4 linked regions of the Tamandua tetradactyla genome follow. The protein of the gene in region 4 purifies or fractionates together with the protein of the main gene of each other region. This does not show direct contact. Links are inferred from orthologs where the notes say so. Each region holds a gene or a part of one and is shown on either strand. Other genes may lie near its edges. The genes, in order: NHSL3, CYFIP2, EPS8L1 and ABI1.

Region 1 (7,639 bases), on a different chromosome or scaffold from region 4:
GGACAGACCAGGGCAGCAGAGTTGTTCTGTCAGCCTCAGGGCCCACTCCTCTTCCTGCAGGGTCCTTGGAGCTCAGGTGATTAAACTTATAAACACAACAACAGCAACCCCTGCATTTCTGTGGTGGCTCCAATTTATAAAATTTTCATATCCTCTCTTGTGAGCATCTTAGAGAGATAGAGAGGTCACAGATCCATCCAGGCAATGTCTAGCCAGAGGGTCACCCCTGAGAAAAGGTACCCTCTCTTCCCCATGAGACAGTAACAGAATCAGTAAGCCCAAAGGGAGGAGATGACTAGCCCAATGTCACAGGGCTTGCTAGCAGCTGAACCGATATTTAAACTCCCATTTGCCTGACTCCAATACTCTTCTTCTCTATCAAGTTCCCACAACACTCTGGGCCTTCTCCCATCTATAGAATGGGTTGGATGAGAACCAACTTTTAAGCCCTCTGTTCCATGTCTGCAGGAAAATAAAAACAATACTAATTTTATGACCAAGTACTGGTCATAAGAGCATACCAGTTCGGGAATCGAACTGGTTTAAATCCCAGTTTGGGAAAGTCAATCCACTTACTCACCTCGAACCTCAACTGTTTTACTCGTAATTGGGATCAAATGAGATAATGGATACAGGATGCCTGACATTCAGAATAATCAATAAACGTCAAATTTCCTCTTTTTTCCTAAGTATGTGCAGGGTGGTGAAGGGAGCAGAGGAGTCTTGAAAGACAAGAACTGGGGAACTGTATTCCAAGCTAAGCTTTGCCGTCTTTGGAGTGGAGGAGTCAGCTAGGGGCATCTAGAACTAACTGCATAGCCCTTGGATTTTTGGTTCAGAACTTGAGGTGAGGGAGATAATGAGCTCCCCCCAAAAAGGCCCCTGACCTTCCAAGAATTTTCTGTCTATACTCCCCTCCTTCTCCCCAGTCTCCATTCTGGACATTCTCCCCAGAAAGAGTTAAGCCTTCTTTGGGCTTCCCCTCCCTGGCCAGCAGTGCCAACGGAGATTAGAGAGATCAGATTTATTTCTCTTAATAAACAGAGAAGTTGGGCTGGGCAGGTGACAAGGAAACAATTGGAATAATAGGAGGCTGGAGCAGAATGGAGCATGACTTCCTCCAGTTGTACCTGAGCCATCCCTAGACCCAGGGAAACAACAGCTAGGGGCAGGGAGGTGTTGTTCACACACGTGGGCTCAAATCAGGCTGACCTGCTGCCTGGAAAGCCCAGTGCCACCTGATACCAGGCATCAGGGTGGAGGGAGACCTGGCCATTGACCCAGTGAACCCAACCCAGGCTGTTGGAGTAGGTACTTTCAGGATCAGCTTTTCCAGCTCCTGCCTCCAGGCTGATCTGCCAGGGAAAAAGGGTCTACTGCCCTGGAGTATACCACTAGACTTCTGCCTGCCAATCCTGACAGTCTGACCATAATCCAACTTGCTGCAATTCCAACCCATTACCTCTTGAGTGAGATGGAGGTATCTTCAGACGGAACACTAGTGAGGCAGCCCCGGGACAGATTTCATGTCTGAGAAGTGCAGAGCCCTTGGCCCCACTGAGAGCCAGACACCCCAGCCCCAGCACCCTGACTTCTATTTGTGGCTGGGCTGCAAGGGAGCAGGGACCTTATCCAAAAGGAAGAAGGGGCCAGATGCAATCACACAAGAGACTCTTTCACCCACTTCCTGATCCCTAAAGTGTTCCTTCTAATTCTCCTTCAGAGGACACTGAGAGGGTGAACACAGGCGGATGGGATGGGCCCGCACACTACACCATTTCCTCACCTCCAGCACTGCAGCAGAAGGGTAGATAGGTAGGTTTCTGGGGACACCAAGCCCCAAGGGTGCCTCACCCTTTTGCTGAGCCTCAGGCCCTCCTCCCTCCCAACCTAAACAGGAGATGGGGACTGACGGTGAATAAGGGAGAAACCAAGCTAGTGGTCAAAAGAAAAGTGACCCCATCAGGGAAGAGCCAGACTGGCCTCCCCTGCCCTCAGGCTGCCCAACCATCAGGCCAGAGGCTGTCAGAGAAAAAAAAACACAACACCGAATTCCTCCAAGTCCCTACTCCAGCCCGGGTTCAGCCTCTCCATTTAATTTGGGCCTCAGTTTCCCCATATGCAACTATACTTCCGACAGTGACATTTTTGTGAATTCTACCGGTGGGGCGAGGAGTGGTGGGGAAGGGCACTTGGTTCCTGTCAGTGAGCTCACCACCTCAGGAGGTGGATGTTTGCAGTCTGGCCCAGGTGAGTGGGAAGGGGGCCAGGTGGGAAAAAACTAACACTGTTAAGGACCTAGTGCAGGGTGCTTTCCTTTCTGGGGCTGGAAACCCACACCCACCTAGAGGACTGAAACCCCTTTTGAGTGCAGTTGATCTTCCAGACCCAGAGGGACCCACACGAGACCTAGAGAGATCCAGGGCCACCTGCCTCTCCTACTGGCCCCAGGCCAGAGTCAAGTCTCTGACCCCCTGACTCAGCAGAGAGCAGGACCTGAGTGCGCCTGGGGGAGGGGGGAATTGCCTCACTGCCTCACCAGCCAGACTGCCAGCACTTCCTGCTGAAACTAGGAATCCCTGCCCACCCGGGGGTCCCCTGCCCTCAGAGTGGAGCAGAGGAGCTGTGTCTGGGACGTTCCGGCCCCTCTCGGCTCCTCGCTCCTCCAGCACCAGCGCCTTGGGAGTCTCCCCGGCCTCCAACACGCCCGGGACCCCCGGCGGAACCACCGCGGCCGCACCCTCAGCACCGCCCAGCGCCCAGCCCAGGTGCCCGCCGCCTTACCTCGGCCTTTGCCCTTGGCCCTCTTGGCCTTGTCGTCCGCCTTCTTGGCCCGGGGGGCGGCGGATTCGGCGCCCTCGGCCCCTGCTGCCTTCTTCTTGCGCCGCTTGCCCCGCAACCAGCTGAAGGCGCGGCGGAGGCTGGACGCGCCCGAGCGGGACTTCTTCCTGCGCGGGGGGCCCCCGGGCTCCTCGGCCGCAGGTGCGGCGAGGGGCGCGCGGGTGGCCATGGCGCTGGACGCGGACCTGGAGGCGGGGGTCAGGCCCCCTGCGGCGCGGCGCCCATGCGGCGGGGGCTGGCGGACGAGCGGCCGCCGCGGGGGAGACGCGCCGGGAGAAAAGTTTGGGCGGCGGAGGCAGAGCGAGCGAGGACGGTGCGGGCGGCGGGAGCGGCAGCGCGGGAGGGGCCGGCCCGGCGGCGGGCGGGGCGCGGAGGCCGGCCGGGAGGGAAGGAGCCAGAGGAGGGAGCGGCCGCGGGGCGGGAGCTGCGCTGCCTCCGGCCGCTCCCCGCCTCCTCCGGCTCGGGTCCCGGGCTGGGGCTGGGCTGGGGGAGGGCGAGGTCTGGTGCTGAGACGCCGCGGTCGTGCGGGCTGCCCGCGGCCCGGAGGGCGGTGGAGCGGGGCGGGTCCGGGAGGGGGCGGCACTGGTGGTGCCAGAGGGGACACAATACGGGGTTCGGCCCGGAAGAGGGCGGCACTGGTGGGGAGGCTCGGGGGAGAGCAAGAGAAATTCTGGGGGGTGAGCCCCAGGAGACCTAGGTGTCCCGAGTTTGATCAGGTAAGAGAAGGAGGGATTCATGAATTCTTTTCCTGGAATAAAGGAATTCTGAGAATTCTTTCCCGGACCCGGACAGTATTGGGGCATTTGCCCTAGAGACTGTGGCTTCCCAGACCCGCCCAAGCTCTGTGATCGACAGCTGGCACTCCCCTCCCACCCGGCCACTGATAATTACCTCTTCGCTCCTTTTCCCTCCTCCTCACACCTTGCTTCAGGATCCAAGAATCTTTGGTGTGGAGGCGAGGGCCAGGCCGCCTGGGCTACCGGTTCATCCTTTGGTGCCTGGGATGGGGAGAGTCGTGCCTCCGTTTCCTCCTGGGTTAGGCTGGGAGGCCCTGAGGCTCCCCTGCCGGGCTCCGGGTTTCTACTGAGCTGTTCAACACTGAATCCGGCGGATCCTGGGGCCTGAGGAACTAACAGTTTCTAAGGTGTTTTTGAGACCCTCTGCAGGTGAGAAGGGTGACTGAGGACGTGAAACCTTTAGAAATCCTGAGAATTCTGCACTCTCCCTCCTGGCTTCTGGCTCATTTTTGTAGCTGACTGAGCACTTTTACATTATCCGATCCCACAGCAAGCCTGTGAGGGAAGCAAGGCAAGAAGTGTTACCCCCACCGAACAGAAGGGACACTGAGGCTGGGAGGTGGCAATGATTGTCCAGGAGCACAGAGGTAGTCAGCAGAGGAGCCAAGGCCAGCATCTGGGTCTTCTCTCTGCCTGGTGGGAGGCGCCAAGCCCTACGGGCCAGCTGTGGGCTCAGCATCCCTGGACCCCCTTCTCTGGATCCCCAGAAGCTGGAGTTTGTCAGCATCACCCAACCTGACCCTGGTGACCCAGCTCACTCCTGATCTTCGTCTCTTTAAGGGTGTCTGGGGCGCCACAGCCCAGTGAGCCCCAGCACACCATGGACAACACTCACTGTAGTATTGCAGGAAAATTGGGGTACACAGTGTGACCTCTCCACAGGCCCCCAGGGGCTCAGCTGTGGCTAGCCCGAGCCCTCACTGACAACCCCCATCTGGGGGACCTGGGGCAGATCACCGTACTTACAGGACCTCAGTTTCCCTTCTAATCGGCCTTTCATTCAGATCCCTTGCCCAGGGATCACACTGGCCTTAGCTTTTGGTACAAGACCGAGGCCAAGCCCAACACTATCCTGCAGGTCCTCGCCTCTCCTATTGCTAGTGATGAGTGTCAAAGGTAGGGCTGAGACATAGAGGGTGATGCGTGCAGCCTTGGCCTGCTGGATAAAGTCTGGATCCACTGGGGACGGAGGGGCCAGGAAGGAAGACAAACATATTCTGGCTCTTGGAAGGGGTGGAGGGAGATGAATGTTGGCCAATCTTGCCCCCCCACCCCAAACCCTCTCAGCACCTCTTTCTTCCCAGTGGCCAGAACTGGCTACGTAATTTATGGAGTCCAATACAAAGAAAATTCAGGGCCCCTTGTCCAAAAATTCTTTAAAAATTCAAGAGGACAACAGCAGAGCGTTAACCTAAGTATGGGGAATAAATCCTTAAATTGGGTCCCCTGATTTGGAGAAGGGGAAAGAGAGGAAGGAAGTGGGAAGAGGTCACTGCTCCCAACTCTGATACATTCTTACCTGCCATCCCCAGTTTGGGCCACCTTCAGACCAGCAACCTTAGCTGCTTCCTCTTTTCCCCTGGCCTAATGGACCAGTTAGGCTACCGAGGTACATTGGGTGTGCATCCCACCTCCCTCCCCCCACTGCAGCTGGAATCCTGCCTGGATTAATGATTGCTCAGCTCGGCTGCATTCTATGCCGGCCCTACAGGCAGCTGAGGGATCCGTCTTCTCAGCTGCCCCTGTCGGCCAGGCCCAAAGTCCAACCCGACCAGACAGCTGACCAGGCAGGGAGCTGCCAGGCTGTCCCCAGGGAGGAACCACTGACAACCAGGCTTAGGGCAGGGGACCCCCGGCGTCCAGCTTTGTTCCTCTGTTCTTAGAAATTTCACAGTCACCCCGATGTTGTTCTCACACCCACCCCATCTCCCATGGGCCCCAGTCTTGCCCCCTCCCAGGCCTGGCCTCCTCCCCCACAGACTCCCCACTTCCAGCCTGGACAGGCTGGGACAAGGTGTGGTTGAGCCTCCTTCATTTCACAGGGAAGACCAAGAGGGGAGACCAGCTGAGGGTGGGAGCACCTCAGTTCTTAGACCAATTGGAGGGCCAAGAACTGTGATGGAGGGAGGGGTAGTCCTGCAAAACTGGGCCTGTTGTGAACTTAATAGTATTCCCATTCCACAGACAGAAAAGCTGCAGGGGAGGTGGGATGACTTGCCCAGTCACAAGGCTACCTGTGGGCAGAACCAGAGTTTAAAACTGATTTGTGTTCACGTGTCTGTTTGTGTGTATGCATTTCCTAATCGAGCACTGACTTTGTGCTAGGCAATGCCTTCCCCCCCACCCCACCTGCTTCCCAAGGGCTGGCACCTTAAGACCCTGAAGCAGGGAGGACTTATCCAAGGGCCACAGCCAGGCTTCCAAGAACCTCTCAAAGTCGTCTGCTTAACTTTGAATGCACATGCCTATGAACAGCCCCATGATTTTAAGGAGATTCTCAAAGGGGTTTCTGTTCCAGAACAGGCTAAAAATCTATCTTCTGGTCCTCTGGGGATTCAGGGCCTTTTCAGTGGGAGGAGAAGGTAGGAAGGGGCTCCTTGCACCCAATCCCCTCCTCCTCTCTCCTCCCTAACCCTCCACAGGGTACCTCCAGAAGGAACGGGGGCAGAAGGAATGAGTTTTGGTGGCAGGCAGCATTCCTGCCTCCCCTTATCTGTGGCTCCTGGCAGATGGAGCAGCCATGTTCACATTTCAGACAACTTCCCCGCTGAGGTCATCTTTGATCCTCCCAGCATCTTTTCAAATCAGGCCCCAGCCTAATTCCACCCATTTTCCCTGCTGGAGTGAGAGGTAAAATAACTGACCCGAGGTAATGCCAGATAGGTTGTTAGTGGAGTTTTCTGGGTTATTTGCTCATCTGTTCCAGCTCCTAGAAAGAGAGGCAAGGGAGGAGGGAGAAGAGGTGAGGGAGGAGGGAGAAGAGATGAGGGAGGAGGGAGAAGAGGTGAGGGAGGAGGGAGGAGTAGCTTTGGCTGCTACCCAGTCTCCAATGTCGAAAAAGTTTATTTTCCTTCATCCTTTTAACAAACATATCCTGAGCACCAGCTCTGCGCTCCAGGCTTCCTGAGGATGACTATATATATATATAAATTTTTTTAAAATCAGATTGTTATTCTCTGTGCTGTACAGTGTATAAAAGTGGTTTTCCAAACTTTTTTCTTTTCATTGTGTCATGTTTTGGATTTTTTTCTCCAAACATAGACCATCCTGGAACTCTGATAGATAAAGCTGATAAAAGCAGTATTTTATACATATAAATTTATTTTACAAATCAAAAGTTAGAGCCAGATAACTTAAAATCAGTGGGAACATTTTGATAAACTAAAAAATTAAAACAGTGAGCCATAGGTGATGGTTACGGTATTAATTGAGCTCCAGCATCCAATTTATTTCTGCAGTTTATTTTGGTTGTTCAGTAGTTAGAAAATACTGAGTCTTATACACAAGCCGGAGCAAATGCCAAGAGTTTTAACAACTTGGAAGCAATGTCAGAAGCTTTATTCTGAGGTCTGAACAGAAATGAGCTATCCAGCCAGCCCATATTAATTACTTGTTGAAAGTTAGCAAAGAGCCCAACTACTTTAAAAAATGTTTCCATATATATAGGGATATGTATATATAAAAATATGTAATATTTGTGTATATATAAAAGTAGGTATATCCATATCTATTTTTTCAAATGAAATTTGGATGAATTGATTGTTGAATCTTGGAGAAAAGCACTTCGCACTCAAAGAAAGGAAGCTTTCCCAAGGAGTTTCCCAAGAACCAGACCTGGTTCTCCTCTCAGTCCTGCCACTGATTTGCTGCGTGACCTTAGGGAAGACACTTGCTCATTCTGGGCCCATGTTTCCCCATCTAAACATCCAACTTTACCTAGGAAAGGAGTGTGTGTGTGTGTATAGGTACCTATGCATGTGTGTATGAGTGTGTTGGAGTGG
Region 2 (7,224 bases), on a different chromosome or scaffold from region 4:
AGCTGGGTTTCTTGGTCAGAGACCAGTTCCCTTCATAAAGCAAAAATTCAGGAAAGCTCTGGTGGTAGAGGGTTGGTAAGCGCTATGGGTTAAACATATTTAAGCCAAATTCTTAATGATTATGTAATCAATATATTATAACAAAAATAGTACTGTATGCTAGACACTCTGCTTAGCATGCTTGCGAATCTCTCATTTAACAGGAGCATCCAATTAAGTGTCAGCTCCTTCTCCACCACAGCTGACCTCCCACATCACTGCCTAGAAGCCAGCAGCACCCGCCACCCTCTCCCACCACCTCCAGTACTGACACAGGGTCCATCTCTGGACCTGAGACATGGCTTTGCTTCTTGGAATGAAAAGACCAAAGGCCTTTCACAAAAACTCTAATGAGGTGACTGATGTCTGGTTTCATCAACTACCAAGTGAATAATTAATACGTGCCAGAAAAAAAAAAAAATAGACTCATTGTTATGGTGACCACATGGAGGTCACCATTTTGTGAAGTTCTTGGTGGAACCCCAAGGCCAAAAGTGGCCCAAATAAACCTCTTTGAGCATGCAGGCCAATCCTGAAACATGAAAACTAGAGCCCTGCTCTGTTTTCCAGGAGTGTGTCCCCAACGTTGATTAGCTTGTTGCCTTTTCACCACCTAATTCTACTTGCTGGTCAATGACAGCAGCAGAGGCCCACTGAACACCTGAGAGGACACGATATATCAGAGGGGACATGCAGTAATCTCCCTGGGCCCTTTTCTAGTTTTTATATTCATATCTATTTACTTCTCTGGGCCAGCCTCAGATCGAATCTGAGAAAAACTCTCCAACCCTAGTGGATTTTATACCCACTCTGGGAAGTCAGTAATCTTGGCCTAATGCCTAAAGCAAGCTTTTTTTCCTTTTCCATTTTCCAGCAGGGACTGAACAAGGCAGGCTTGGGTGCCTCCGGAACCAGTCAGAACTGGCCAGGAAACATAATAAAGAAGCTTAGTGAGCAGAGAGCTCCCGATCCCAGCCAGAGGCTCAGTGCACTGGCACTGAGTGAGCAGAGACACCAGCTTGGAAAGCAACAACATACTCTTCTGGTGGCTGGGAACTGCCCAGCATGTGGCAGCCAGTGCCGACCTGTAGTTCTCTATAGGAAGTTTCACCTCCCACAAGTGGACACTGGGTGCTCAACAGATGTCTCCTGGTGACAATGACTCTGACCAGACATGCATACACTCCTACATATTCCTGCCCTCAGGGCCAAAACTGCCCTTGCAAGTACACAGAGCTGAAAGCTGCTAGAGGCTGTCATTTCAGGGACAGCTGCCCCCCACCCCCCCCCACATTTCCAGCCTGCTGTCTGAAATTCCACCATTAGAGATGTCAATATTTTCACTTAGAGCTTCGTTTCCCATTAAAATGTCTCCACCCTTTGTTTCCTTTCTAGTCAAATGACTTCTCAAGCACCTGCTCTTAATCAAGTGAGGAAGTCTTTTGTATTTAAGCTCTTCAGAAGGAACAGGTTCACAAATTTTGACTTGGGAGAACTTTGACTTGGGAGAACCGGGGAAACACAGGGCATTTACGCAAGTGGGGGTGGGAGTCCATAGAGAAGGGGTCTGGTGGTGGAGAAGACTTCAAGGCCTTCACAATCTTGACCAAGAATATGGACCTAGATTTTCACCCTCCAAGATCTGAGGGCTCTGGGACCCAACTTGCAACGTGACCTGTGGTCAAGAGTATGCTGAGATCCGCTGCCTTACAGGGGATGCAGGCGGGAGGTGGCAGAGGGGAACGCGGGCGTCAACACTCTCCTGATTTGCCTCTCATGCCAGCAGGACTGCTCCAGCCTCCCTGCCCACCTGTGAAGGTGCAGACAGCCAGGAGCTGATAGGAAGGGGAGCTGACTGCCCATCAGCCTGAGTGAGTTTCCACCCTGCTGGGGAAAACAGGCAGGCAGAGGTCAAAGTCAGATTGCCTGGGCTGGGACTGGGCACCTGGGCACTCCCAGTGTTCTTCCCAGCCCCATCCTTCTCCTAGCTATTCTTCAGGCCCCGCTGGACCATACCGGCCCCCACCCCAAAACCACTGCACCCCCTTCTCCTCCTTTATAAATAGGCCGGCTTACCCACTGAGGGGAAGGGCTGTTCCTGACCAGAGGAAGCTACTAGGTAGTTAGACAGGTAGGCATCTTCCTGGTTCTTCAGAGCTCAGAAAACCCAACCTTTCTCCCAGGAGTCAGCCCCCTCATTGCATTCTCCCCACCTCCTCCCCCGCCCCCACGCGGCCGGGCGAGAGAGGATCCGGTAGGCCAGTAGGCTTCAAAGCGGGTCAGAAGGGTGGTGCCTCCTCTTCTCATGAAAGCGCCCCACTCCCAAACGTCTCCGCTTCGCCCCTCGCCCCACCCATCTCACATTCACCGCAGGGCGCTCGGTGCCCGAGGCAGCTACCAGGCGGGCCCAGGCTGGTCTCGCTGGCCCTGGGGGAGGTGACGGTGGCCCCGGCGGAGGCGGCCCGCGGCACCTGGGCGCAAGGATGTCGCCGCAGCGGTGCTGGCGGCCGCTGCAGGTGTCTCGGGTCCTCAGGTTTAGCGCCGCCTCCTCTCCCGCAGGCGGCTACGGCCCAGGCCGCGCACCTGCTGCTACTGGGGCCGCCGCGCCCGAGCTCCGCCGTGCGCCCGCGCGTCCTTGCAGAGGGCCGGCGCGTGCGGCCCAAGCTGGGCCGGAGAGCTAAGGGAGGCGCCCCGGGCCCGGGGCCCGGACTCCGGGGACTGCCGGGGAGCCCCCAGGCCGCTAACCCGGGCGCGGCGCCCAGTGCCCTCCACGGGCTGGGAGATAAGATGCCGGCTCTTCGCGCGTCCTCACGGCCGCATCCCGGTCACCATCAGCATCCCGACCCCGGATTGGGTCCCCAGGCCGGGGAATGGCGCTTACCTGGGTTTGCGGCAGGTCCAGGGCCAGGGCCCGAGGCTACGGCAGGGCCCCACGCCGGGGCGCAGGATGCTCTGCCGGGCTCCGCTCTGCTGGCGGCCCCGCTCGGCCCCGCCCCGGGCCCCGCCCCGCCGCCAGCCGCGCTCCGCCTCCCTCCCGGTGCCCGGCCCGGTTGCCACCGCGGCTGTCACACAAAGAGCAGGAAATGGCTGCGGCGAAGGGCTCTCGGTACCCCTAGCGTGCATCTCACGAGGACCAGTCGGGTTCCCAGGCCATCCTGCCGCCCTGCTGCCGGGGAGGAAAAGGGAGGGATGTTTTTACCCCATGTCCCCCATTTCCTGGGACCCACGCTACAGCAATGGGGGATCGCAAGCTCGGACCCGTTCGAATTTCATTATTCTCACATTATTCCCAAGTGCTCATTTATTTAACCAGCCTTCACTGAGCACCAATTTTGTTTCAAGCCCCGTGCCAGGAACTGGGTATGCACTGGTGTATAGAAGACAGGGTCCCTGCCCTCTTGGAGCTTATCTCTACCAGAAGAGATGGGCATAAATTACATCTGGGAGAAGGACTGGAAAGAAAAGGAATAGGGTGAAATGATAGAAAATAAACCTGGGAGTTGATGGGGAGGGCGGCAATCACACTAGTTGAGGCTAGTCCCTAATGCTGCTCCTTTGCTCCGGAATAATTTCCCCTACCCTCTTTCAGTCACTTTGGGCAGAATCCCTGAAATTGTTACCTCTTAAGCACCAGCGTGCCCCAGCTTCATCCAGTTAGAATTGGCTAGTGAACAAAAAGCAAAAATACGGTAACAGGAAACCTTCCTGGCAATGCCTGGGGGCCCAATAGCAACTGAGAGGATGTGTACCCACCCTTCTCTTTTAAATTTCTCTGGAAATTTATGGCTTTCCAAAGAAACAATTTTCATTGAGATGCAGCCTGGTGGACCTTCAGACCAGATTCAAGTCAGGCTGAGCCTTGCTTGTCCTAGCCTTGAGACTCCAGGCCAGTCAATTCACTGCTGTGTCACGAGATGCCCCTCCTCACTCACAGGTAAGTAATTTGAATGCATTTGAGACATTTTAAAGTGTATACAGATATAAGGGATAAAGTCTTGTTTCAAGGAGACCTTTCTTAAATGTTTGCCTAGGATTCACAAATTTATACTTTATCACTCTGCTATTCCTATTAAGGGATATTTATAGAGGAGCCACACTGTTCAAGGATCAGAAAAGACCTTATGTAAGTCTTTGCCCTTGCTGATTTTGCATAATTCCCAAGTGCACAGAATTCATAATCCTTGGTAATTTGATATTACGTTACTCATTCTGATTTAAATCCCTATTTCAGAAGGATGACATACACATACACACACACACACACACACACACACACACATTTCTGTCCCTGATGCCATGTGAGAAAGCTGTGGGGGAGTTTGTGGGGGATGATTTTAAGAACGGAAGTAAAGTTTCGTTTTTTTAAAAAAAATTGTTTTCAACCTTGATCCTTGGGATTTTTGAGTATCAGTAATTACCAGGACTTAACAATGAGAATCCTAATAAAATGGATTTCATTCTAAAAGACATATTATTTTGGATGTTTTCTTTTTCTGGAAGACATAGCTCACCCTGCTGTTCCTTCCTTGTCTTTTCACCAATCAGAATAAATTGCTTAAAAACAAAGAATATCATTGCATGCATACTTGGTTAGATCTTAGGCAACAATTATTCCCTGACCCATGAATTCTATATACGTATAAAGGAGAAGCCATATGGTTTGATTGAAACCATTTTGCTAGAAATGCAGAGATTTGTCTTTTGGTCCTAGTTTTGCAACTAATAGAAGAGTGACCTGTTTCTCCATCTATAAAATGCAGTGAGTTGGCTTTGCTACAAAGTTCCTACATGTGGAAAATTGCATGAGTTAAAAACAAAGGACAGATCCTTTCCTGGCTTAAAGCACGTCAGTAGTCCCCACTGTTCTCGGGATGAAGCCCAAACTCCTTGCCATGGTCTATCATGGACTTCATAATTTGGCCCCTGCCTTTCCAATCTTTTCTACTTGTGACATGCTCACTATGTTTCAGCTAAAAGAAATTTCTTCTAGTTTCCCCAACTTGGGGTGCACAGGTGGTTCAGTGGTAAAATGCTTGCCTTCCATACAGGAGACCTGGGTTCAATTCCCAGACCATGCACCTCACCCTCCCCCCAAGAAAGAAGAAGAGAAAAAAAATAAATACTAAGTCTCTTAGTTCCCACAATTTGCTGTATTTTCTCTTGTCTTTGGTCTTTGCCCGAGCTGAGCTTTTTGCTTAGAAAGCTCCTTTTCTCTCTCTTCTACAATTTTCCCCAGTTTGCCTATCTACTCCTCTTCATCTGTTGGTTATCCACAAAGATGTTACCTCCTCCAAGAAGCCACCTGTGATCCCTCCATGCCTTGGGTAGGTGTCTCTATCCTGGACTTCTCTATCATGACTTTTATTATGCTGTGTCACAATTGCTGATTTGCTTGCCTGCATCCATCATGAGACCATACAATCTAAGAGACAAGGGACTGGGTCTGCCTTGCTCCCCACTGTGTCCTCCAATCCTAGCACAGAGATTGGTAGATGATGGGAATGTAATCAAAATGGCCTACATGAATAATTGATAGAAGAAATGTTATTTTCCACTTTGTCAGTGAAATTTGTAGCTGTCTGTGTACTGCCTTCTTATTTCCTTCAAGTCCCACACTGATTTGCACCCTCAGCAATAAGAAAATTGCAGCTACCAAGTGAGAATTGCTCTGCCACTTGCAAAACTTTGGCTCATGCCTTGTGGTTCCATGTGAAGCAACATGGCCTTGGTTTTAGAAAAGGCTCACAGTACTTGGAACATCTAGGTTGTCTGCATTTAAAAACCATCAGCAGACCCTGCTTATTAGAAGCCAGCAGTGGCGTATCTGGAAAGGACATGGGAATTCGTTCTGGAGAGAGAAAATGTAAATAACAATTATGGCTAAGCTATACCAGTGCATTACCCCATTTGATTTTTCACAGTAGTCCCATGAGGAAAATATGATCATTAGTCCTATTTTATAACTGAGGAAACTAAGACAGGTTAAATAACTTGCCCCCTATAGTGAAACCAACACTGATGCTTTGACTGCTATTATAAGCATCCCCATGTCCCCTCTTCCAAACCAAATCCAGATATTTATCAACACTTTTCCCCAAAACATATTTAATGCAACTCATAAGGATGCATTAAATTAAAAGTTAAAAACAGCTAAAAAATTAATAGCAAAAAGAAAGAAGAGAAAAAATTCAAAAAGAGATGGAAAGAAAAATGTGAATAGTACAAAAATTATATGCCATGGTCTTGCTACAATAAGCTTACACATTTTTTGTTCTGTACATTCTTGTGGTTAGCAGGAAAAGAGAAACTCATGGTCAGTTACACAATTCACATTGCCCATTAGATAAAACCTGACCATTTGCTCAAAATTGCCTCATTTTACAGGTGAAAGAACTGAGGCCTAAAAGAGGATGTTATCCAAGGCAGGGCTGAACTCAGACCCCAGGTCCTTCCATGGGAAACCAAAGGGTTGCCTGCCACTGTCTTTGAATCTGAAATAATTTATTAAAGAATATATACATATATATATATATATATATTTTTTTTTTTTTTTTTTGCATGGCTGGGCACTGGGAATTGAACCCGGGTCTCCAGCATGGCAGGCAAGAATTCTGCCTGCTGAGCCACCATGGCCCACCCTAAAGCGTATATTTTAAACTAACATTTATTGAATGTTTATATGGGGCCAGTGTTTGTGCTAAGTACTTTATATGGATGGCCTCATTGCACTGCATTCTCACAAAATCCTAAGATTTTGTTATTTTATAGATGAAAAGCCGAGAACTGCATTGTGGCTGGAACATTGCAGTTCCCTCCTGGGCCCTTTGGAACTAACTGCATATCTTCCCTTTTCTTCCACCTTTTCCTCACTTTGGTCATTTCCTGCAACTTCTGCAGAACTGGCCTCTGTTGACGATCAGATCCTTTAGCACGTAATTGGATAACAAAGAACATTTTATCTTTATTTGAACAAATACTATTTACAATAAATTTGGGTAAGGACTGATAGTAAGGTCAGAGCATATTCTGAAAGGAGTTTGGAATGCTGGGTACAGCAAAGTTAAGGCACAAAAAGAATGTGCTGTCTTAAGAGGCTAGCATAAATGACTATAAAATCAGTCCACGGAACAGTTGAAGGGGACAAACAGGCCTGGGTTCAAGACTCCATTCTGCCACTTACGGAGG
Region 3 (7,960 bases), on a different chromosome or scaffold from region 4:
ACCCATTTTGTAGATGAGAAAACTGAGTGTTCCATTCCTTCTACTTAGTGGACCAACTGCTTTTAACGCCTCCATCTCCAAGGCCCACCTCTCCCCCAGCAAGACTCCTTGTGGCAGCACAGATGGCAGACTCACGTTAACGGGGTACTGGGATACGTCAGCCATAACCACAGTGGAGTAACGCTTCCTTTGCTCTGCGGGAGGAGAAGGTGGATAGACCTGGGGTCCAGGCTCCCCTCCCTCAGACCCGGGGTCCAGGCCCCCAGCCCCTCCTCCCTCAGACCCGGGGTCCAGGCCCCCAGCCCCTCCTCCCTCAGACCCAGGGGTCCACGCCCCAGCCCCTCCTCCCCCAGCTCCGGGGGTCCAGGCTCCCAGCCCCTCCTCCCTCAGACCCGGGGTCCAGGCCTCCAGCCCCTCCTCCCTCGGACCCGGGGTCCAGGCTCCCAGCCCCTCCTCCCTCGGACCCGGGGTCCAGGCTCCCAGCCCCTCCTCCCTCGGACCCGGGGTCCAGGCTCCCAGCCCCTCCTCCCTCGGACCCGGGGTCCAGGCCTCCAGCCCCTCCTCCCTCAGACCCGGGGTCCAGGCCTCCAGCCCCTCCTCCCTCGGACCCGGGGTCCAGGCTCCCAGCCCCTCCTCCCTCAGACCCGGGGTCCAGGCCTCCAGCCCCTCCTCCCTCGGACCCGGGGTCCAGGCTCCCAGCCCCTCCTCCCTCGGACCCGGGGTCCAGGCCTCCAGCCCCTCCTCCCTCGGACCCGGGGTCCAGGCCTCCAGCCCCTCCTCCCTCGGACCCGGGGTCCAGGCTCCCAGCCCCTCCTCCCTCGGACCCGGGGTCCAGGCTCCCAGCCCCTCCTCCCTCGGACCCGGGGTCCAGGCCTCCAGCCCCTCCTCCCTCAGACCCGGGGTCCAGGCTCCCAGCCCCTCCTCCCTCAGACCCGGGGTCCAGGCCCCCAGCCCCTCCTCCCTCGGACCCGGGGTCCAGGCTCCCAGCCCCTCCTCCCTCGGACCCGGGGGTGCAGGGCTTCAGCAACCCCAGCCTAAGGTTTCTTGGGCCCACACTCACCATAGATAGACTTGGCACTTGGTTTGGGGGCAGCTTCTGGACTGGGAAGGAAAAGAGGGCTGAGAGTGAGTGTGAGAATTAGGGGCAGGTGATGTGAGGTGTCGAATGCTAAGCAGGGACTTTATCATGAGGCAATGGGGAGCCATAGAAGGATTGAACTGGAGAGGGCCAAGAAAACAGATGAGTCAGTGGTAGTGTGTGGTGGGGAGCAGGATGGTCTCTACTCTCCAGCAGACCAGAGTTCGAATCTCCCGTCTGCTGCTCCCTTGCCATGAGAATGTCTCGTGCCTCAGTTTCCCTCTCTGGAAAATGGGGTTACGCATAGCATCCACCTGGTGGGGCTGTTGGGAAAATTCACTGAGACGATGCGGGTGAGAGCTCTGCAGCCCAGTAACTGTCACTGTCATCACGAAGACGGTTGGACGGGTCTAAGTACACACAAGTCGCTCAACACGCGGCAGGTGTTTCGGTAGAGTTAACATTTGAGCAGGAGAGTCACCGCTTCCCCTCCTCCCGCATGGACCAGGTCCTCCCCAGTCAAACCCTTCTGTCTCCTCCCCTCAGCCTTCCCTTTAAGGTCACTTTCTCCTGGAAGAATTCCCAGATCCCTGTTTCCAAAGGAAATAGCAGAAGCCCAGAGCACAGGTGGGGTTGGGGCTGAGGGGGGCCAGAAGCCCTGGTAACTGCCCCTCATTGTGCAGGGCTGGTCTCCCTGGGCTGGTGAACTCCCACCCCACCCCCACCATGCAGCTATCCCTGCGGCTCTCGTTGCCTTCTCCCTGCTCCCTCTGGGAGGCTTGTAGCTTAGGACACACAGCCCAGATGTCCTAGCACAGGGCCATCGCTGTCCATAATAAAATAACCTCCACAGCAGGGACGGCGGCTTGTGTCGTGGTGCACATTGTCCCGTCAGCTTCTCACGACAGCCAGGCTGAGCGTGCGAGCTCAGCTGATTCCTGGGCTGCGTCCTCCGGAGCCGGAGCTGCCAACCCCAGGCCGGGGCAGGGGGAAGGCCACTCGGCTTCCTCCTCAGTGTGTGGAGCTGGGCTGGGCCTGACCCTGGGCTCCTGCAAACACTGCAAACACCGTGGGCAGGTGCAGGGGCTGCTGGGGGACGCAGGAGGGGGGACACTTACCGGGCGGTGGTGCTCATGGTGCCGAGAAGGTGGCTCCTGCCCACCTGGAGATGCCCTGGGGGCCAGTGGGGGTGTGAGGGCCTGGCCTACAGGCCCCCGTGACCCCAAACCCCAGCCCTCCTAAACTCAGGGTTCCAGGCCCCCAGCCCCTCCTCCCTTACACCCAGTGCCAGGGCCCCCAGGTCTTCCGGGACCCCCACATTCCATTCCCTAACCTCTGTGTATCCCACTTTCCCTCCTCTATGCAGGGATCTCGTCTTCCGACTCTAGCTGCTTGAGAGCCTGGGAGTCGGGCCAGAGCTCACCCTCCCTGAGAACCAAGGGTGTTGGACCCCAAGTCTCCTCGAAGAACCATTCATCCAATTTCTCAGCCCCTCAGGACCCTATCTGTATTCTTCCCTCAGCTAGTGGGAGCTCCCGTTCCAGCCCTTACCTCCACCGGACTCAGGAGCCTGGGCTCCCCCGGACCCTGCTGTCTTAGTTCCCAGGAGCCCAGATGCTGGAATATCACCCCCCCAAGACCTGGGGGTCCAGGCCTCCAGCCCCTTCTCCTTCAGACCCAGGGGTCCCCCAACCCTTCCTCCCTCAGATCTGGGGGTCCAGGCACCCAGCCCCTCCTCTCTCAGACCCAGGGGTCCCCCAGCCCCTCCTTCCTCCGATCCTGGGGTCCCCCAGCCCCTCCTCCCTCAGACCCAGGCTCGGGGTACCCCTTTCTCACCTGCCAGCCAGCTCTGTCAGAGGAAAGGTCCTGCTCTCCTCTCCCTTCCAGCCGTGGCCCCTCCTTCCGGTTCCCTCCCAGGCTGTCCCGCCCCCCGCATACCTGAGCGCTCACCTGGCACAGCCCGGGAGGGGTTGCCTCCGGGTGGGGCTGGCAGAGAGGCCAGGAGGGGGCTGGGCTGCCTCGGGGGAGCCGGAGACTTAATTGTCTCATTGTGGCAGTAACACAGTAATAACAACAGCAGTCACTTGCTGCCGTTCTTGTTCACCTGTGGGAGTGGGAAACTGCCTCAACCTCCCCTCAGATCCTCTTCGCCTTTTGCAGGGCTGGCGGGGGTGGGTGGGGGGGAAGGTTTGCGCAGGGTTGATTTGCCAATGAGGAAGCCGAAACCCAGGGAGCATAAGCCGTGTGCTCATGGTCACAGAGAAGGTGGGCTGTGAAACGGGCCTGGGTGTCCGTCCCTGCTCTGCCTCTGGGGACACCTCCTGTCCTTGGGCACTCCGGGGTCCTGATGTCCTCTTCCCCTCCCTTCCTCCAGGAAGGTCCCGCCGCGATCCCCTGTTGTGGTTGCAGCTGAGACTCAGCTTGGAAAGTGCCCTGGCGCAGTTCCAAGTGTCACAGAAATGAACAGACTTCTTGGGTATCAACACCTTTATAAAATCTCTCACCAAGGACATCTTCTGTGCCGCAGTACCCCGGGCACAAGGACGAGAGTGCCCGACTCCAAGTCTCAGACCTTAGATCCACGGCAGGGGACGCGGGTCGCACCACCATTACCGCTCCTGGGGCCCTCGCAGGAGCCCCCTAACTGGTCTCCCCACTTCTGTCCTTCCCCCCTTCGGCCTAGTCTCAGCCCAGGGGCTCTGTAGAAACCGAAGTTGGCTCTGCTCATGACCTTCCAGTGGGCTCCCCATTTCTCTTTGGAGTCTTACAAGGCCTTAATAAGGACGTGGCCTCCTCTAACCTCACTCCCTCTGCTCCAGCAAAGGGGCCCCACTGTTCCTTGAGCACCCAGCCCCCCCCACCTCAGGGCCTTTGCACGTGCTGTGCCCCTGCTGGAATGCCCTTCCGGCAGAAGGCTTCATACCCTCAGGGCTTCGCTTGAATGGCACCTTCTCAGCGGGCCCAGTTGACCACCCTCATTTAAATGGCAGCACCTCTTATCCCCCCTATTCTGACACACCTTGTGGTCCCTTCCTGGCTCCCCTACTTTATTTTTCTCCAGGGAACTCATGACCTTCTAACACCTGTTTATTTTGTTCATTTTATGTCTTCCCCTCCTGCAGGTGAGCTTCACGAGAGCAGAGACTTTTGTATGTTTGGTCCCCCACAGTGTCCGCAGCATATAGAACCACCTACGGCACACAGCAGGTGCGGAAATCTTTGTTGAATGAATGACTGCTTCGCATGGGGTGTGTTCTTGTGCATTCTTGCCTCACTACTTCCTTCAACTCGGATTGATTCCACAGCTATGCAGAATGAGGCTGGACCGGAGAAGGCTCGTCCTTGCCCTGGACTTGCCGGGATTAAAGAAAGAGAGAGAGACACAGGATATTGCGATGGCAGAGGTGGTCCAGAAGAGGCTGCTGGGAGGGTCGGGCAGGCTTTCTGGAGGTGTGGGTTCATTCCCGGCTTGACCAGTTACTGATGCAATTCTCAGGGTGTGCTCAGATCCTCTTCTGAGCAGGTTACGTGGGGTGTCCTCACAACATCCTGCGATGCGTGGGTTACCCGGTTTCACAGATGAGGAAACAGAGGCACATGCTAAGCGGCCCTGATGGCTGAACCTAGGCGTTCCAATGCACAGCCTGGATCCCCTCTGTTCTTTTTTCATGTTCCTGCCCCTTTATGGCTGTGTGACATTGGACAAATTACTCAGGCTCTCTGTGCTGCAATTATCTAACTCTGCAGTGGGGGTGACCATACTGAGCAGTTTAAATGGAGTCACGGAGGGCTCAGTGCAGAGTGACAGCAGGACAGCCAGCCACCACGATGACAGGGGCCGTCTTTCCACATGTGCCGCATGAGTAAGTCCGGGCAGGCTCCCTGGAGGAGGTGGGGGCGGAGCTAAGACCTGAAGGACGAGTTTGGCAGCCCAAGTTGGCCAAGTCCAGTGGGGAGGGGAGAGCAGCGGCCAGAGCACAGGTGGCCCCTGCGCCGGGGGAGGGGAGGGGGGTGTTGGGCTTTTTGGTTTTGACTTCCGCTTGCTCCTGTCCCTCTGTGCCCTTGTTCCATTCGTGCCGCGAATATTTTCTGAGCCCAACCCAGCGTGGGTTGGGATCTGAGGGAAAAGGCCACATGTGCTAGTTAACCTGTGTGAGGTGGGTGGGTCTGGAGGAGGGGGCGCTGGGGGCTTGGCCCCCCGGGTCTGGGGGAAGAGGGGCAGGACCCAGCTCTAGCACAGGGGGCCGTGCAGGCCGCCCACCCCACCCTCCCGCACCGGCTCGGAGTCCCAAGCTGCTGCCCAGACCGAAACCTGGGCCTCCGCCCTGGTTCCCGGGCCCTGGCCTCCTGCCTCCTTCCTTCTCTGGCTGCAGAGGAGGCCCCGCCCTCACTGCAGATCCGAGCCAGTGCTCCCCAGACACCAGGGGAGGAGGCACCACCCCTGCAAGCTGACGCAGCAAGTCCTGGGCGGAGGAGAGGTACCGGGAAGAGCCTCCTAGGAGCCCTTTTTGACCGCAGCCTGCCCTGTGGGTTTGGAGAGCCTTCTGCTCGGCGCCTGCCTCCGTGCCCAAGCTCCATGCCCAAAATGCGGTATATGTGTTGTCCTGGATCTGGGCAATTTTTCCTCTGGGCTGAGAGGTCTTAGGAACCAAGTAGAACTTTTCTCTGGGACCTGAGCAGCTCAGACTTCTGTCTGTGTCATATCTGAAGCATCCCCGTGTCTTGCATCCATACACCCCCTCCCCTCCCACCCCCAGCCCAAACTCTCCTAGATTGTAGGATTTGCTGATGGACTCCTGGAGATCAAATTCACTGGCAAGAGAGCAAGCTATGGCAGGTTGTGTGTGTGTTCAGGGGTGGGGTGGGGAAGGGGTGGTTATAAGATGGGGGCTGAGCCTCAGAGAGATACATTTCCTTACAGCTAATTAACTACTAATTTATACATTCAGTAAATAGTTGTGGAGACCTAATTTGTGTCACACCCTCTGTGCCGGAATGCACAGTCGCAATTCACTGTGATATGTCCATGAATAGGGGTGGCCCAGGAGCTTTGTGTGTGCCCAGGGAAGGCTCTTAATCCAGTTTCGCGAGTGTGTGTGAGTCAAAGAAGCCTTCCTCGGTTCAGCGTTAACTGGTGGGGTTTTGAAGGATGAACAGGAGTTTGCCAAGGACAAAGAGGCAAGACATTGCACTCTAAGCTTGGTAGTGGCTTCTACAGTGGCAAATCCTTATTAAGCTCCTACTGTATGCCAAGCATGTGCTGGCGGAGGAGATGGACAAAGCCCCTGACCTTGGAATGCCTTCCACTGAGGGGGTAGCAGAAGACAAGTACATGAAGTATCATGTACTTTTCAGATCAAGGAGAGAAATGCAGCAGAGGTGAAGAGCTGGAGTGACTGAGGGCAGGCAGGGGTGGCTGCTCCAGGTGGGGTTGTCAGGAAAGGCCTCTCTGAGCCTTGACCTGAATTTCGAGAATGAGCTGGCAGAGCAGCAAGGGTTTCAGGCTGATGGGATACCTCCTGGAGGCTGGTGGGTGGCATCTGCGGGGGGTGTGGCTGGAGGCTTAACTGCAACCATGACAAAGACAAAACTCCAGCTCAGATGGGTTTGCCCCCCGCCTGCCTGTCTGGCTGGGGGCACAGATGGCCCTAAATGTAGTATTTTTCTTTGGGAGTTCCTGCGGGACTGGACACCCCTAGAGACGGGGCGGGGAGAGGCATGTGGGACTCCTGGGAGGCCGAGTCTAAAACCGGCTTGGCCAGGGTAGGAGGGTGGCGGGTGGCCGGAGCTGTTTGTCCTTAGGGCGGGAACAAGGGCAGGGCAGGCTGGCAGCCCCTTCCTGAAACTGGAGGCGCCTGACTCCGAGGCCGGGGGGCTGGGCCAAGGCGGCGGTGAAGGGGACAGGGCTCCGGGCACGCTCGAGTTTGGATCCTGGGTAGTAGACATAGATCCTTCGTGGTCCTAGCAGGAGACTTTACTCCCTGAGCCCTCTGGATCTCTTCTCTAAAATGGGCATTTTCCCAGAGGCTGCCTGAAGCGCGGGAGGGAGGATTTGGCGTGAGAAAACACGAGAAGTGCTCAGAAGAGGGCCTGGCATAGTGACGAGGAATTACTAGACAAAGGAATGAACACGTAGCTACATAGCCGAGGCGGCGTGAGAAGAGATGGCTCTGAGGACGGACAGCTGTGGGCTCCAGCGCAGCTGAAAGCCCGTCTCTGAGCCTCGGTTTCCCCAGCCCTGAAATTCAGATGACCATTCATTCAAGACATCTATTCATTCAGTCAGTAAATATTTATTCAGTGTCTGTTCTGTGCCAGGAACTGTTCTAGGTACCAGCAGCCAGAAGTGAACAAAGTAGCCCAGAATCTGCCCTCTGGGAGTTTGCATTCTGGCAGAGGACACAGAGGATACTACAAATAAAATAAAAATTAAACCATTGGCTATGTAAAATGTCGGATGGATAAAAATAAAGAGGGTCAAGACAGTTCTTTTGGGTTTTGTTTAAAGTTTAGATATCACCTAGAAGGTGATTTTTGGTTGAAGAGCTGAAGGAGGCGAGGAAGGAAATGATGGGGTTATCTGGGGAAGGATTTGCAGAGTTTATGTGGGGGGATGGCCAGTGCAGATGTCCTGGGGGTGAGAGCACGCCCGGTGTGTGCACCTGCCGGGTCAGAGCGGCTGGAGCCGAATGGGCAGGGGTAGGTGAGGTCCCAGAGGTAACGGGAAGATCTGAGGGCCAACCCAAGAACTGGAGAGATTTGGGGAGCTAATGAGTGTTTTGCTCAACGTCTGAGAAATTTCAGACTCACAGAAAAGTTGCAGGAAGAATAGAAGAAATTCCCATATACTCTGATTCCCCAAAGATTAACATGAACACTTTT
Region 4 (7,160 bases):
TCATCAATCATTGCTATGTGAATTTCATCTGGTTTGGTTGTTTTTTGGTTGTTGCTTTCCAGTAAAATCAGGATATCTCACTAGTGTCCAGTTTAGAGCCACCAAAAAAAAAAAAACTAGAGGCCTCTAACAGAGGCTCTTGGTACCATGGTACCAATATTTTAAAGAATGAGAGATGAAAAATAACATGATTTATCTAATTTAGGGATATTTCCAAGGAAGTTTACAAGTGCTTCAAAGTTATATGATGGTGGCAGGAGGGGAAAAGGAAAGAGGTCAGGAGAGAGAGAGAGACAGAGAGGAAAGAGGAGAAAAAAGCCTTACAGCATACAAGCATCTGAAAAAGAAAGTCAGCAGACAGGTTAACACACGTCTTCAGCTACTAACAGTTGCCAACATGCAGCAGCAGTTACCACATCATATACTTGTCTGATTTCCCAACATGCAAAACAAAAGGAGCCTCCCCTTCTGTACTTACTTATCTACTACTTTCACTGCTTCTACAGTTGTCTGGGATGGGGATAATTTCATTTTCTGTGCTCTTTGTTTTTCAAAACCTTTAAAATTTTCAGTAAATTAAGGTTCACCTGAATTTTAACGCTTTTAATATTAAGTTGAATAAAAGTTGCATGTTTTTAATATCGATAAGTGACAAAAATCACCTTTCTATTTGCTAATTATATCCACATTACTAGATTTTAAAATGTTTAAGGCTAAATATAAAGTTCGCACAAACAAGTAATACAGTAGGTGGACAAACATGCAACAAGTTTACTTAGAATTACTAAAGTAAGGGTTGAAAAGTTTTATGAAGATAAATTCCTAGCAATACTACTGCAGATACAATGTTACTAATATGGAAATTGTCAAATATTCAAAATATTCTAAAACAGTATCTCCCTCTAAAAATAAAGAAGAAAAATATTTGCCAACACAGAAACATTGGTTCTTAAAAATGATAACCACATGGGAGACACATCTAAAAATACTATAGTTCTGAACTGCAAAAACTCTAACCTTACAGAGTTTTGGTCAACGCCTTAACCAAAAACAAGTGAGTTTCTGGTGCCAATATACTGATACAAAGGACTGCTCTGCTACTTGACTTGCTCCTATTGCAAACTGTCGGTCTACCCAAAGATCTACAAACCTAACTACCACACACATAATTCGCTTCCAATCGTTACAGCAACAACAAACAAAAACTATCTGTCATAGATAAGGTTCCAAGGATTTTCTAATAAATTTTCAAGAATTGATCATTTATGTTGTGGTTCAAAAGCTAAACAAATGTAGTGGGTAATCTATTTGGAGTCATACTGTATACACTGACATAAGCTGAAAAGAGAGCAACCTCAGAAAAGAGAGCAATCGGCAATTAGACCATTCTATTTTAAGTTACTCATGAAGTCAGCCTGAGAACTTTTGGGGAGAGTATTTAAGACCTTTCCCCAAAGCAGTTAAGAATAATCCATGTTTTATCACAATGACAGCCCTAACAATCTCTAAAATACTCAAGGTAGGGCGGAAGTGAAAATGATGAGAAGGGCAAACCAGACCTGAAAACGGACAGGCAGGCAAAGCAAACCATCACTTAAAGGAATTTCAAGATTTACTTCTCTCTAACGTCCTCCCTCACTCCCCACCCCCTCCCTCCACTCCTCGGGAGGTCTGTGTGATGTGACTCATGACAAATTTTTTAAAAATTAAATAAATAAAAGACACACCCTCTGGGTTGAACTGCATAATCGCCCCCACCCGGGTCTGCCGACCCACGCCCCGCCGCTCCTCCCCCGCGCGGCCCCGCGCTCCCCCGCCTCGCCGTCCAGACCCGGTCCCCGCGCAGAGCCGAGGGGCCGAGCCCGCCGGAGGCGGCCGCCCGGGACGCCCGCGCCCTGCTCTCCCTCCCCTTCCTGGGTTTCAACCGCCGCAGCCACTTCCTGTATCGCGGCCCGACTCCCTCAGCCCCGACACTTGCTCTCCCCGGCGGGGCTAGGCAGGGGCAGGGTTGGGGCCGGGGCCGGGGCGATGGCCTGGGGTTAGAGCTAGGGCCAGGATTGGTGTTGCAACTGGGGTTGGGGATGTGGCTGGATTAGAGCTGGGGTTGAGGCTGGGGCTGGAGTCGGGGTTAGAGCTAAGGTTGGGACCAGAGTTGGGGTTGGGGTCTGGGTTGGGAATGGGGCCGGGGCCAGGGTTAGAGCTGGATTCGGGCTGGAGCCAGGGTTGGGATTGGGATTGGCGTTGGGGTTGGGGTTGGGGTTGGGGTTGGGGTTGGACCTGGGGCTGGAAACCGGTTGCAGTTGGGGCCGGGAATGGGACCGGTGCTGGGATTGGGGTTAGGGCTGGGGCTAGGGCTGGGGCTGGGGCTGGGGCTGCGGCTGGGGCTGGGGTTGGGGCTGGGGTTGGGGTTGGGGCTGGGGCTGGGGCTGGGATTGGGGCCGGGCTGGGGCTGAGGTTGGGGCTGGAGCCGAGGTTAACCTGGGGTTGGGGTTGAGGTTGGGGCTGAGGTTGGAGCCAGACACGGGGTTGGGGCTGGAGACCGGTTGCGGTAGGGACCGGGGTAGGAACTGCGGCTGAGGCTGGAGCCGAGGTTAAGCCCGGGGTTGGGGCTGCGGCCGGGCTGGGGCTGGGGCTGGGGGCCACGGCTGAGGTCGGGCAGCTCCCACTCAGCCCAGGGGGCTGGTCACTCGCGGCCGGCGGGGTCCTCGGCCCGACCAGCGCCCGCCCGCGCGCGCCTCACCTGTATGTAGTTGTTCTCACAGTAGTCAGCCACCCGCGTCAGGTTCTGGTAACTCTCTATCAGCGCCCTCTTGCCAGACGGGATCTCCTCGTCTAGTAACATCTGCAGCTCTGCCATTTTCCACCCCTCCGCATCGCTTCCTCTCGCGTTAAAGAGACAGCGGCAGCACGGTCGGCGGAGCTCGGCGCCCCTCGCAGCCCGGATACCGACGGCCTGCCCGCCCTCCCGCCTGGTATTGTGGGACAGCGCCGCCTCCTCTTCCTCCTCGCCCTCTCCACCCCCGCCACTCGCTCCGCGCAGCCTCCCGGACCTCCTGCTCTCGCGATCGTTCAGCGAGCGCAGGCCGCGGGATTTGGTATTTCTTCTTCTGCACCGCCTTCTGGGAATTGTAGTATCTGAGATACGGGCGTCGCGACGGAAGCGCATGCGCCCAGGGCACCTCCGGGAAGGAAGGAGTGGGGCGTCAATCAAGGACGTTGACCTGCGGCGGGGGATTTAGGGCCGGAGGTTGCTATCGCTCCGGGAGATGGCGCCACAGGGTGATTCTGGAGAATAAAACCGTTTCCCAGGGCAGGCTGTGAAACTTTCCTAATTAGGACGTCAGTGAATTTGGAACAAGGATTCTGATTAGGATTAAAAAGGAATAGAATATGGAAAACCCCACATCTTTATCTTCTTAAAGATGACGCTGCGATAAGCAATTGCTTCTGATTGGTTTTGATAAGTTTCCTAAATTCTGTTGCTCTGAGTGAGCTTTCAGTCTAGTCGGATAAAGAAAAATACTGAGAATGGGGCTTTTCCAGGGAGCTCCAGCCAGATAAATGATTGGGCTTTTGGAGGCACTCCAAAACCTGTCTTTCCTCTCCAAGTGGCTGCTAAGCTGCTGGCTTTTCACAGCTGTCGTGATTGTGATGCTGTCGGTTTTCAAGAGGCTGCTGTGGAGCTAGAGGGAGAGAGGGAAGAAAAACAAATGAAAACGCCACAAAACTTGCTGTTCTTACTGAGTTTCAGCTATTTTTCTTGAATAAGTGCTCCTCAGATTGTTGCAAGCTTGTGGTTTTCAGAGTTGTGAAAAAGTTGATTTTGGCAATTTTTGTTGTTTATTGCTTTTATCAGCAAGTTTTTGAGGTCGCTTCTCCACCATTCTGGAAGTCCCTCCCCTTGTTTATTTTAAATCTAACCTCAGCCATCCACCAGCTGTGTGGCCCTAAGTAAATTACATAATCTTGCTAGAACCTATGCCTTCAAAGTAATAAAGGAGGTAACAAAAATACCGTAAAGGATTCAGCACATTTTCAAAGTAACACAATGCATGTAAGCTTTTGTGATGAAAACTTGTTTGCCCTCACAAATCTGTTCTCTCCTTCCTACTGGCCACTAGACCGTCCAGGTAAACTACATTTCTCAACCTTCCTTAGAGGTTCTCTTCCATAAATTCCCACCAATGCAATTGAGGGGAAGGGATGTATGTAATTACGACTTACTGAAATTTCTGCTGAAGTGATAGGTACCCTGGACTTGCCTCCCTGCTTAACATCTCACTAGTTTAAATGACAATTGAACCCAAGCCTTTTTTAAATCAGGCGCATTATAAACTCCTTTATGTACAGGAGTATTCTTTGACAAGTTAAATAAAATGTCCACTGAAGACCTTCCACTGCCAAAACAATTCAGAAAGTCCACTTCAGTTGATGGGATTCAGTCCTTGTCTGTTTACTTTCCCTTAAAAGAATAGATCATTGTTTACTGCACTTTGCTTCTAGATGTATGCCTGTTTCTTTGTGGCAAATTACCAGTATAGGTATCTTATTCCAATCTTCTACACATGATGCAGAAGAATTTTAGACTTAGCTATTCTGAAACTGACCAGTATCATATGTTTTCTCATTTGAGTAAAGAAATCAGTGAGAAATAATGTAAAAAATGTTTCTAAATATTCAATTATAGTATATACTAGTGTTTTCCAAAATGAATCTCTATACCTATGATCAAGAAATCGATATAATGCATCATGACCAGGATTATAAAAAGTAAAAGAGGCAAGAAAATATTAGCGGGCATAACACAACAGTAAGGTAATAATCAATGGAAGTTTTTGTTTTAAATAATAAATGTATAAGAAAACATATTTCGTACTCTGCAACAAAGTCAAAAAAGTTTGTGAAACACCTGGACCACACTCTATCAAGTCTATGTAGATGCTCACATAAAAGCAGCTCTTGGAAGGTCAAGATCGAAAGGAATTAAGTCCTAGCGAATTGTATAAGAGTTTTGAGCAAACAGGGGTAAATTTTGACCTCCTGAATTTTCCCTAATTTTATTTATTTATTTGAATATGTAATACATTCACATGACTGAATATTCAAAAGGCTCAACAAGTAGGCTTTGAAAGGATTTTATCTCACATCGGATCTCCAGCCTCCCAGAGGCAACAGATTTTATCACTTTCTTATAGGCCTTCTAGAGATTATATGTACAAACAGTTTTTTTACTTAAATAGATCACATACTGTTCTGCCTCCTTGTTTTTTTTTTTATTTCTTTAACCACACATTCCTGAGATCGCTGCATATCATATATTAAAATGTCCTCATTGTTCTGGGGGTGTGAAGGTAGTTCAGTGGTAGAATTCTTGCCTGCCATGCCGGAGACCTGGGTCCAATTCCCAGCCCATGCACTTCCCAAACAAAGCAATCAACAAAAATAAAAGTTCAACAAATGGTGCTGCAATAACGGGATACTCACATGGGAAAAGAATGAAATAAAACCCTGCCGTACAGCATACAAAAAAAAAAATTTCCTCATTGTTCTTTCTGGTATTCTTGTAAGTGGATGTATCATAATTATAGAAAGACATTGTTTTCAATCTTTAACTATTTCCACAAACTGCAATGACAAGTTTTCTTTACATGAGGGAAACTAGTTCTTTTAGTTATGAAAATATATTTAAAAGCTATTATAATTAAAAATATTTAGTGATGGGCGGGCCGCGGTGGCTCAGCGGGCAAAGTGCTTGCCTGCTATGCCAGAGGACCTCGGTTCGATTCCCGGCCCCAGCCCATGTAACAAAAACGGAGAAACAAAATACAATAAAACAAGAAAATGTTTAAAAGATGTTTCCCTTTCTTCCTCCCTTCCTGCCTTCTATCCTTCCTTCTCTCTGTCTTTCCTTTAAAAAAAAAAAAAAAAAAAAAAAAAAAAAAAAATATTTAGTGATGACATGAATAGATAAACAGATTTAAAAAAAAGATTAAAAAGTTTAAAAACAGATCCTGAAAATATGGAGGAACCTAGTGCTCCTCCATACATATATATATTTAAATGCAGTTTTATTGAGATATATTCACATACCATATAATCATACCATATTTTTGTTGATTGCTTTGTTTGGGAAGTGCATGGGCTGGGAATTGGACCCAGGTCTCCGGCATGGCAGGCAAGAATTCTACCACTGAACTACCTTCACACCCCCAGAACAATGAGGACATTTTAATATATGATATGCAGCGATCTCAGGAATGTGTGGTTAAAGAAATAAAAAAAAAACAAGGAGGCAGAACAGTATGTGATCTATTTAAGTAAAAAAACTGTTTGTACATATAATCTCTAGAAGGCCTATAAGAAAGTGATAACATCTGTTGCCTCTGGGAGGCTGGAGATCCGATGTGAGATAAAATCCTTTCAAAGCCTACTTGTTGAGCCTTTTGAATATTCAATCATGTGAATGTATTACATATTCAAATAAAATAAATATACAAAATATACAATCAATGGTACCCAGTATCATTTGTGTATTCATCATCACCATCAGTTTTTGAACATTTTCATTACTCCAAAAACAATAAAAAGAATAAAAATAAAAGTGAAAAAGAACACCCAAAACATCCCATACCCTCCCACTCCACCTACTGTTTATTTATTTATTGTATTTATTTTCTTACTCATCTATCTACACACTGAATAAAGGGAGAGTCAGTCACCAGGTTTTCACAATCACATGGTCACACCACAAAAGGTATGTAGTTATACAATCACCTTCAAGCATCAAAGCTACTGGATTACAGTTCAGCAATTTCAGACATTTCCCTCTAGTTACCCCAATACACCAATAACTGAAAAGGGGTATCTATATAAAACATAAGAATAACCTCCAGAATGATCCTTTGACTCTGTTTCAAATCTCTCAGCCACTGAAACTTTATTTTCTTTCATTTCTCTTCCCACTTTTGGTAAGGAAGGCTTTCTCACTCCAATGGTACCAGGGCCAGGCTCATCCCCTGGAATCATGTCCCATGTTGCCAGGGAGATTGACACCCCTGGGAGTCATGTCCCATGTAGGGAGGAGGACAGTGAGCTCACCTGAAGAGCTGGGGTAGAGAAAGTGGCCACATATGAGCAACAAAAGAGGTTCTCTGTGGGTG

Evidence for each region.
Region 1: the proteins of ABI1 (region 4) and NHSL3 purify together in Homo sapiens (affinity purification with mass spectrometry; 3 studies listed by BioGRID and IntAct, with this or other methods). This does not show direct contact. The link is inferred for Tamandua tetradactyla from reciprocal best matches to the Homo sapiens genes ABI1 and NHSL3.
Region 2: the proteins of ABI1 (region 4) and CYFIP2 purify together in Homo sapiens (co-immunoprecipitation; 4 studies listed by BioGRID and IntAct, with this or other methods). This does not show direct contact. The link is inferred for Tamandua tetradactyla from reciprocal best matches to the Homo sapiens genes ABI1 and CYFIP2.
Region 3: the proteins of ABI1 (region 4) and EPS8L1 purify together in Homo sapiens (co-immunoprecipitation; 4 studies listed by BioGRID and IntAct, with this or other methods). This does not show direct contact. The link is inferred for Tamandua tetradactyla from reciprocal best matches to the Homo sapiens genes ABI1 and EPS8L1.

The regions. Positions count from the first base shown.
Region 1 is NC_135328.1:193,159,956-193,167,594, forward strand, and holds the start of NHSL3 (NHS-like protein 3), read right to left. Parts: upstream 3,011-7,639; coding exon 2,785-3,010; intron 120-2,784; exon of another isoform or gene 1-119. UniProt on the Homo sapiens protein: Able to directly activate the TNF-NFkappaB signaling pathway.
Region 2 is NC_135346.1:38,357,037-38,364,260, reverse strand, and holds the start of CYFIP2 (cytoplasmic FMR1-interacting protein 2), read right to left. Parts: upstream 3,009-7,224; 5' UTR 2,921-3,008; intron 1-2,920. UniProt on the Homo sapiens protein: Involved in T-cell adhesion and p53/TP53-dependent induction of apoptosis. Does not bind RNA. As component of the WAVE1 complex, required for BDNF-NTRK2 endocytic trafficking and signaling from early endosomes.
Region 3 is NC_135342.1:4,599,823-4,607,782, forward strand, and holds the start of EPS8L1 (epidermal growth factor receptor kinase substrate 8-like protein 1), read right to left. Parts: upstream 3,002-7,960; 5' UTR 2,915-3,001; intron 2,252-2,914; 5' UTR 2,214-2,251; coding exon 2,197-2,213; intron 1,102-2,196; coding exon 1,061-1,101; intron 195-1,060; coding exon 136-194; intron 1-135. UniProt on the Homo sapiens protein: Stimulates guanine exchange activity of SOS1. May play a role in membrane ruffling and remodeling of the actin cytoskeleton.
Region 4 is NC_135327.1:223,997,350-224,004,509, reverse strand, and holds the start of ABI1 (abl interactor 1), read right to left. Parts: upstream 3,017-7,160; 5' UTR 2,858-3,016; coding exon 2,741-2,857; intron 1-2,740. UniProt on the Homo sapiens protein: May act in negative regulation of cell growth and transformation by interacting with nonreceptor tyrosine kinases ABL1 and/or ABL2. May play a role in regulation of EGF-induced Erk pathway activation. Involved in cytoskeletal reorganization and EGFR signaling.